Drosophila melanogaster: one gene and its partner. The protein of the gene in region 1 purifies or fractionates together with the protein of each later gene. This does not show direct contact. Each region holds a gene or a part of one and is shown on either strand. Other genes may lie near its edges. The genes, in order: CDK2AP1 and MTA1-like.

The links.
Region 2: the proteins of CDK2AP1 (region 1) and MTA1-like purify together in Drosophila melanogaster (affinity purification with western blotting, with the first as the bait; one study listed by BioGRID). This does not show direct contact.

What each region holds. Positions count from the first base shown.
Region 1 is NC_004354.4:11,136,122-11,140,334, reverse strand, and holds CDK2AP1 (CDK2-associated protein 1), read right to left. Parts: upstream 2,477-4,213; 5' UTR 2,279-2,476; coding exon 1,433-2,278; coding exon of another isoform or gene 1,391-1,432; 3' UTR 646-1,390; downstream 1-645. Other genes in the region: ssp7 (short spindle 7), read left to right, coding at 91-157, 226-334, 401-491.
Region 2 is NT_033777.3:5,645,586-5,650,428, forward strand, and holds the start of MTA1-like (metastasis associated 1-like), read right to left. Parts: upstream 3,154-4,843; 5' UTR 2,940-3,153; coding exon 2,912-2,939; intron 2,326-2,911; exon of another isoform or gene 1,686-2,325; coding exon of another isoform or gene 1,631-1,685; coding exon 1,469-1,630; intron 1-1,468. Other genes in the region: Sec23 (secretory 23), read left to right, coding at 3,797-4,075, 4,135-4,843.

The DNA of each region.
Region 1 (4,213 bases):
CCTTTCAGTCTAATCGCTGGCGCACCCCGAAACAAGTGGAACTATATAGTCGCCCAGCCGAGCGATCCGTTGATCAGTTAGCTACATAATATGAAATCGGTCACGTTCGTACTCTGCCTGCTCGTTCTGGGCGCCCACTCGCTGCTGGTGTTCGCCGGTAAGTGGATGCAGTGCATCGTCGCCACAAACCATTCAATCCCGCATGTTCATCTTGTTCATTCGTAGTGGATTGCGAGATCGGTGGGCATCAGTTCAAGACCGGAGAGAAGTACACGCCGGAAGGTCGCTGCCTGCAGTACACCTGCCAGGCACCCAAACAGGTGACTGCCTTGGGGTGAGTAGCTTCTACATGGATTGATGACTCCTTGACTCACCCACCTTGCCACTTGTGGCCATCCAGATGCCCGGCCATCGCCTCCTTGAAGCCCTGCAAAATGGAAGAGGATCTGAGCAAACCCTATCCCGGCTGCTGTCCCAAGTTCAACTGCTGACAACGCCTCCCTCGCAAGTCGAACTGCAAATGTGAAATGAACTATGAAAACTGAATATATAACTATAGAAACATACATACCTTAAATGAGAGATGCAGTTGGATGGATGGTTATGAGGGGTTCATACATAATTAGAATCAAGTTTGCCAGTTCTGCGTTTACAAAAACCAAAATAGCGCATTTATTTCGATTTCGATTTCGGTTTCGGTTTGGTATACATGCTTGAACTTAGTCGTATTTGCTCTCATACATATAGTAAATAATGTGTATACATATATAAATATTCTCGTGTCAATTGCCACTAATTCACCATTCACTTGGACATGCACACTGTTCGCTTGCATAACAAGTATATATGTATACATATATCTCTGCTTAACTACATCTACATATCTGCATTTGTATAGTTCTCTAAAATAACGAGGAGCAGCTTTATCCGGCAGTGACAAACTCGCACAAATCCTGTCCAGATACATCCGTATCTGCATCTGCATTTGTATCTGCAAATCCTCGACGGCGGTTGCCATTAGATACTCGTAATTGATTGCATTCACTAACGCAGACACAGGAGCAACTGGGTCTTGCATTAACGGATACAAATTAATGGGTATACGGTAGAGATACACAAGTCCAATAACTTGGGCTGCAGCTATACTTGTAGCATTGTCGATTTAACCGATTGTAACCTGAGCTAGTCTAAACATTCTTTAACTATGGTCCGGCGGCCCGAGGGCCATTAAGTTGATGTGGGCTTACAAGTTAGTACAAATTGCTACACTTTAATGCTTAATTGGGACAAAATGGATCTTTGCGTTTGCTATATGTCCGTGTTTTTTTTTGTTTTTTTTGTTTGGGGGTAATTAACCTAGATGAGGCCGATCCTCGCCTCCTGGTCCATTTCACTCCGGGGTCGCCAGCTGCGGCGCCAGCGACTCCTCCTCTCATTGGCGCGCCGCACGCTCCGTTTCCATGAGGCATTCGCGCACCAGGATGCGGGCATGGACAATGCCCCGCTTGAGACGCTCCGTGGAGCTGCGCGAGCCCGTGTACGTGGGCCGGATATCGCGGCCCATCTCCTCAATGACGGCCAGCAGCTGGGCGTACTTGGTCAGCCCATTGCCCGGGCCCACTGAGGGCAGGCTGGCCGTGGAGGTCAGCGGCGTGGTGATATTGGCCGAAGTTTGGGTGGTCACCACCACGGGCGAGGTGGAGGGTGGCGGGTACTTTAGCTGCGATGAGCTCAGATTCAGGCCCATGCTCTGGCCATTGCTGCCAGAGGAGGTGGAGGAAACGCCGGCACCGGAATTCCGCTGACCACCATTGCTGGAGCACATGTTGGCCAGCGAGAGGGCCGCAGCGGCGACGGCTGCCGGCGTGGCCGTCGTGTTCGACTGCTGCTGGAGTAGCGCCAGCTGGGCCTGGAGGAACTGCGGGGAGTATTGGAGGGCAGCGACGGCGGCGGCAGCTGCTGCTGCATTGGCCGCTGCAGCGGAGCTCTGCTTGCTGGACGAGCTGCTGTAGTCGCTGGCGGAGGAGCGGTCCCGCTCCCGCTTGCCACCGCTGCTCGTGGAGTAGTCGGTGGCAGCGTTGGATGAGTTGGATCCGCCTCCTCCGCCAACGGATCCACGCGAGTGGTGGATGGCCGATATCTGGATTTGGGGCTGCTGCTCGCGCTGCTCCCGCTGCTGCTGGTAATTGTAGAAATTCTGCACTTGGCTGCGCGGTATCGGTGTCACCGTGACGTCACTCAGCTTGGACTCTACGGCCTGGATATCCATGATGTCCATGGTGGCGCTGGGCGATGTGGTGTCTGGAGTCGATATCCGTCGGTTGTTGTGGTAACTTAACTATGTCCACCTTTCCGTTTTCCTGGCACACAAAACTACTAGTTTTTAGCGTTTCTTTTTTGGTTTATTGTTTTTTGTGATATGATATCGATATCGATATCAGGAGGCGTTATTACGCTTTCCCTTCAACGCACAAACAAATACACCCCCACCAACAAAAGTCGATGGTTCGGATTATAGTATCGATAGACAAGCGCGATGCAAAGTGCCCACCTATTCGCGTCTCGAATGTGGGTGTTTCCACTGTACAAGCAATTTGTATACATGTGGAAAGCTCTTTGTCCAAATTGGTAAATGGCTAAATGTTTTTGAAAAAAAGATAATTAACAACCATAAAACTACAAGAAAATTACAAAATTTAACCCAAGTGCATATGTATACATGAATGACAAAACGGTAAAACCATGCAAATGAATAACCATCCACGTCGAATAATACCTAGTTCACCCTGATAAGGCACTCCCAATTTGTCTTATTAAACAGCTAATTTTGTTAGGGCTTAAAAATACCCAACGTTATGTATGTCTAGTGTTGTCTAGTTTCGGGGGGCGGAAAAGCCAATTGCACACAAATATACAAAGTATTGCCGAAACGTTGATTCTTTCAATAAATAAGGCACATTTTAATGAACTTATGCTTATGCCAACAAAAGCGGTCGCTTATTTTTATTACTTATTGATATAAATTCCAAAACAGCTGACATTTTTAACGGTTACTTTGCCTAGTGTTGGCCAAGACATCAATCTTAATAATAAACTCTCAAGTTGTCAAAATTATACTTGTATTTCTACTAAAAAGTCATAAATATACCCAAAAACTACTTAGCCAATAGTAACCCTGCTTAATATGGATTTTATTCACTTATTAACACGCCAATTGTCTCACTTTTCAAACACAACGGCTGATTGCCAGCACTGTTTGCGCTGCAGTCCAGTGCTGCGCAACGCGGCGGGGACAAAAAACAATGGCGAGGCGAAACTAAAAAATTGTGTTGCTGACATCTGGTCGCTTGCAAAACTATTTCTAGCAGATTTTGTGATATTTCGTTGTGATCGGTCGATAAATCCGCCAGTTTTTTTTTTAATGGAAAGTGCTAACACATTGTAGCGGTTGGGAAGATAGCAGGAAAGGTGAGCGAAAGGCAGAAGATTGCGAAAAATTCAATTAAATTTCCGCGACCGTCTGTTTTCTGCATCGGTGTGTGTTTGTGTTTGCTCGCAAGTGTGTGTGGGTGCTCTGTGTATGACGTAAAGCGATAAAGCAAACGCATTCCCCCCACTCCTTGCATATGTGTGTGTGTGCAAGTGTTGTGTTTCTCTCTCATCAGTTTTGCATCTAATTAGGAGCGGAAAGCATTGATTGGCTGCCAAACGCCGCGGTTTGTTGTTTTTTTCGCTGCATTTCGGCCAAAAGGCTTGCCGCAGCTGCATATGTGTCGCTATGTGTGTGTCAGTGTTGCACAGTGCCGCCAGTGCCCACAAAATGGGCGCACAACAACAAAAGCAGCAACTCGGTTGGGATTTTCGCGATCCTACGCTGGCTCGGAGCTCCCCTTTTCCTATTTCCAATTCCCAGCCAGCGGGCTGCCGTTTTTCCTTTTTGTTATCCGTTGCCAGACGCAACGAAAACGACAGTTGGCATTTGAATTCAGCACAAACACACATACTAACGCCGACCCGCAAGCAGCACACACACACACACTGGGACACTCGAAAAAAAAAAAACAGACGCTGTCGGCGACCTCGACAAGCAGTTGGGTTCGATTTAGTTGTCAATGCCTTGAATTCGGTTCGGGGCTTAGTTTCCACAAGTTTATCGCTCGTCAAGAAACAACGAAATAAAATTATTTTCGACCTAAAAAATCTGACTAAATTG
Region 2 (4,843 bases), on another chromosome or scaffold:
TGCATCAAGTCCGTAGCTTGGGGTTGGAATGGCGGCACACTTGTGCCTCAAATGTATATTTTTACGCTAGTTTTCTGCGCCTGATTAGCGAGTGGCCTGCGAAAAGGCGACGCACGCAAATAAAAACTGGATCGTGGAGCGTAATGGATAACTTATATTAAAAATAAAGCAAGATGACAGTGGTCCGATGATGTTGGGGCCGAAAGGGGCTGTGTTAATGGGCATTGTTGGTCTTGTGGGAGTGTAGGAGGTAGAATGGGGTGGTGGATTGGGGTGGGTTGCTCTGCCAGGTCAGACCCACGGAAAACGCATTTTCGCGACGGTCACGTATCGAATTCGAGTGGGTGGCCAAAGCCAAAAATTCAACCCAATTGGGCATGGTTTTTGTGAGTTTTTTGGAACGGCGAAGAGGAAGTGGATGAAGGCGCTGTGTGTATGTATACACAAATGCAAAGCGCGCCTTCCTGCGTGTGCCACATCGCCATAGCTTCACTCCACTCCACTGCTCCATTCCAATCCCCTCCAGATCCCAACTTCTGACTTGAACATTTTCGTGCACACAGAGCAGCAGTGTCAGTGGGTTTGGGGTTGGGTTGGGCATGGGTATGTGTGGCAGCTTTTCAGAGGTAGACAGACTACTACTGTAGTCTACCTACAGCCGAACCAAGTATCACATTCACATTGACGTCGGCGCCGCCTAGCAGCAACCGAAAACAGCAACAACCGCATTACGGGTAGTATAGTGCAGCCCAGCTCATTACAGTCGAGCATCATTAGAGCAAACCGGTGGCACCTTAACGTATGTACATATGTATGCCTAAGGTTGAACTTAATAATTTACAGGCTATTTCCGCACCACGATGCGTGTTTATGTTCATTACCAGTTCCCAAAACACCTAGTTTCTATGACCAATATCTTTTTAGACTATTTGCTAAATGCTTTTTCTAATTTGCGACACGAATAATTCAAATTGCGCTACTGGAACGTAGATCAATGGTGCTTCTGGTTCGAAGTAGAGTGGTTACACTGCCAGTTGATGTGGCAGGTTGTTTGAAGGTTCCACTGCCTGTTTATGTGGATGAGTCGGATGCTGGACGAAATCCGTTTTCGCTCCGCCCTCACAGTTGTTGTCATTGCGGTTCTTGTTGCTCAGGAAGTTTGACTAGGATTGCGGGATGGGGTGGCACTGTGGGAGGTTGGGTGGTTCGGTGGGTGGCTTCGCTTTCCACATGCCTTGACACAGCGCACACAGTGGTGCCCCTTACGGGTTCATTTTGTTGTTGTTTTGTGGTGGGCATGTGCTTAGCAGATCTGGTCGTCAGGTTTTAACTCTTAACTTGTTTGAAGGCCACGACAACGACTCTTGGCAACATAACCTCACTTTGTTGACAATAAATATACACACTTAGAGGTAACGTAACGCAAGATATGGATGCGGTTTCGAGGGAACAGGGTTTCTCTACTCACGTTGGTGTTTGTCGGCCAATTGCACGAGCGGATTGGGCAGATCCCGGCGGCGGTAGAAGCACATGACCTTCGCTTCCACATTGCCGGTTTGGTTTTTGTTCAGCTCCTCGATGCGTCGTATTAAGTAGGGACTGTTCGGCGTTGTCTCAACGTAAACATAGTCTGAAAAAAAAACAGTTTTTGAGGTGGCTGATGCAAAAGGGTCAGAAAAGGGCATGGAAGGGTGGGGGGCTGCAACTCCATTAATACGTCACAGGTAAGCGCACACATACACCTATACACGCATCCACCTAAGTGCGACCACCACTACCAGCTAAAGCGCAATTAAATACATATGGGTCTATCCATCCATATAACTTTATACCTACAACAACTGCAGCGGAACCTGTCGTTGACTATTATAAAAAATAAAAGAAATTCCGTTTATCTGTATGTACATACATACATAGATACAAACGTCGTGTGCACTTCTGCTACATTTTGGGATGCAGATACACAGATAGATGGGTAGATAGATGAAGAGAGATGAAAAAGAAAGTGTGGAGGCAGCGAGAAAGCATTGCCGAAGGTGTGTAACTGTGTGCGTGGCCATTAAAAACGGCTAACAAAAAACGCCGATGGAGACAAAAAGTTCTCGGCGATAAAGAGCAGATAATTCGACAAGTATATATGCCATTAATATTTATTTTGATTCCGTTAATTGAAAGCTTGCGTATCCGACCGAGCTTATTTGCATTTCGAAAGAGCACACACACCCACACACTTGCGAAAATCAGGTGAAGACAACACAATAACGTCACCGCTCGAGCGCGAGCGAGATGGCTAACAGAAAGTGCGTCAGGCAGGGTGAGGAGTGGGAGGCGTGAGATGGGGGGAGATGCTCAAAAGCTCATTAGCATATGAAAACACAAAAAGGCGGGTGGGCGGTGAGCCCAAAAGTGAGATACACTTTCGCACATAGTCAAACAAACACACACGCTGGAGAGATCACAATTCGGCAAAACCAAATCCAAATGCAAATGCAATTCAGTTCCCCAGCCCTAGAATACACACACACGCATACACTTAGGGCATAAGTTAATGCTTATCGGTTGGAACACGTCGAAAACACTTGCTGCAGCTGCGACACAAGAGCAGCAGGGGGCTCCTTCAAAGAAGTTAAAAAAAATAGAAAAGGTCTCTCCTTTTCGACGGATTGTTCTTGAGATTGATAATACACGCACACACACACACATACACGTGCGTCGGGTCTCCCACTAAAGGGTTTTCGGCAATTAAAATGCACTTTCGTTATTGTTGGAAAGCCTCCTCAGACACAACACACACGCATACGCACACATTGGACACACACACACATATGCAGAAGCGAACACGCACACCGTGAAACGGCGGCGCCGATAACGAAAGATGATAGAAAAGCGAGTACGCGAAAATTTTTCTCACCTCCGACTCGATACATATTTGTGGCCATTTTCACTACGCTACCGCACCAAAACTTTCACATGCAAAACACTCGGCACACGCTTAGCACTGTTTTTCAATGGTCCTGTTCCAAACTAGCGCACATTTATTAGCAGAAAACTCGAGTTGTTATGATTGCATTTTTCACATAAGAAGACGCGTTTTTTTCGTCGCCATCTTAGAAACAACTCAACTCTAAAAAATACACGCACACACACACAATGCCGAGTAAACAGCTGCACCAGGGATGCACTCCACGGTGCGATAGTTTGGCCATCGATAGCAATCGATACATGGGGTGTTGGGTAAAAACTTAATGTTAAAATTTAGTTGGGGCGATAAGAAAAACGATAAGGGGCTTTTCTAGGAATACGATTTATATTTATTTATATTATATATACTTCTTGAATAACAATATATATCATTAAGAAAATTAACTGAAAAAATTATGGGCGAACCTTGTTTTATTTATCATTTTCAAAACATATTTATTTTCACCCTTTTTTTCTCATATTAAAACATTCATTCAATCGCATGGGGCGCATGCGATAGTATCGCTTGAAAACTGTCTTCCCTAACATGCAACGTTTGCACTTAAAATTCTGTAATAGTTCGTAGTCTAGGTTTCTACGTTTTGTACGTTTGTATAAATTGTTTCCAGAGTGAGTGCTTTGATTTGAAGAGCCTCTTAAAGACTCATCTCGCGAATTTGTTTACTTTCGCGTGAGTATTTTGGCCGTCGCCAGCACGAAAGGTGTCACGACTCGCTGTCAATCCGTGACGTGGCCTGACCGACCGATTTTTCCAATTGGCAGAGGTCTAACAGAGGTTTTTCCGATTTAAGTATTACATTTAAGTGTTCCGGCGATGACCACCTACGAGGAGTTCATCCAGCAGAACGAGGACCGCGACGGAGTGCGGCTGACGTGGAATGTGTGGCCCTCAAGTCGCATCGAAGCCAGTCGGCTGGTGGTGCCCCTAGCTTGTCTTTACCAGCCTTTGAAGGAGCGCCCCGACCTACCGCCTATTCAATATGAGCCGGTCTTGTGCACTCGCAGCAACTGCAGGGCCATCCTGAATCCACTGTGCCAGGTGGACTACCGTGCTAAGTTGTGGGTGTGCAACTTCTGTTTTCAGCGCAATCCGGTGAGCTCAATGGTGATCTTTAGACTCTCTGCGGCAGTTTATGACAGTCATTATTCCAGTTTCCCCCTCAATATGCTGCCATTTCCGAGCAGCACCAACCAGCGGAGCTGATTCCGGGATTCAGCACTATTGAGTATACTATTACACGGGCCCCCACCATGCCGCCCGTCTTCATTTTCCTGGTTGACACCTGCATGGACGAGGAGGAGCTGGACGCCCTCAAGGATTCGTTGCAAATGTCGCTAAGTCTGCTGCCAACCAACGCTCTCGTGGGTCTGATAACCTTCGGAAAAATGATACAGGTGCACGAGCTGGGCGCGGAAGGCTGCTCTAAGAGCTATGTGTTTCGTGGTACCAAGGACCTGACTGCCAAGCAGGTGCAGGATATGCTCGGAATTGGGCGTGGAGCGGCTCCGGGGCCGCAGCAACAGCAGCACCTGCCCGGCCAGCCGGCTGGAGCGGCGGCCCCTGTGCCGCCCGCCCATCGCTTCTTGCAACCGATCGGCCAGTGCGACGCGGCGCTGGGCGATCTGCTTAGCGAGTTGCAACGCGATCCTTGGCCGGTGCCGCAGGGCAAGCGTTACCTGCGCTCCACTGGTGCCGCCCTATCTATTGCGGTGGGCCTGTTGGAGTGCACTTATCCCAATACGGGCGGTCGCATTATGACCTTCGTGGGTGGCCCTTGCTCCCAGGGCCCCGGCCAGGTGGTCGACGACGAGCTGAAGCACCCGATTCGTTCGCATCACGACATCCACAAGGACAACGTGC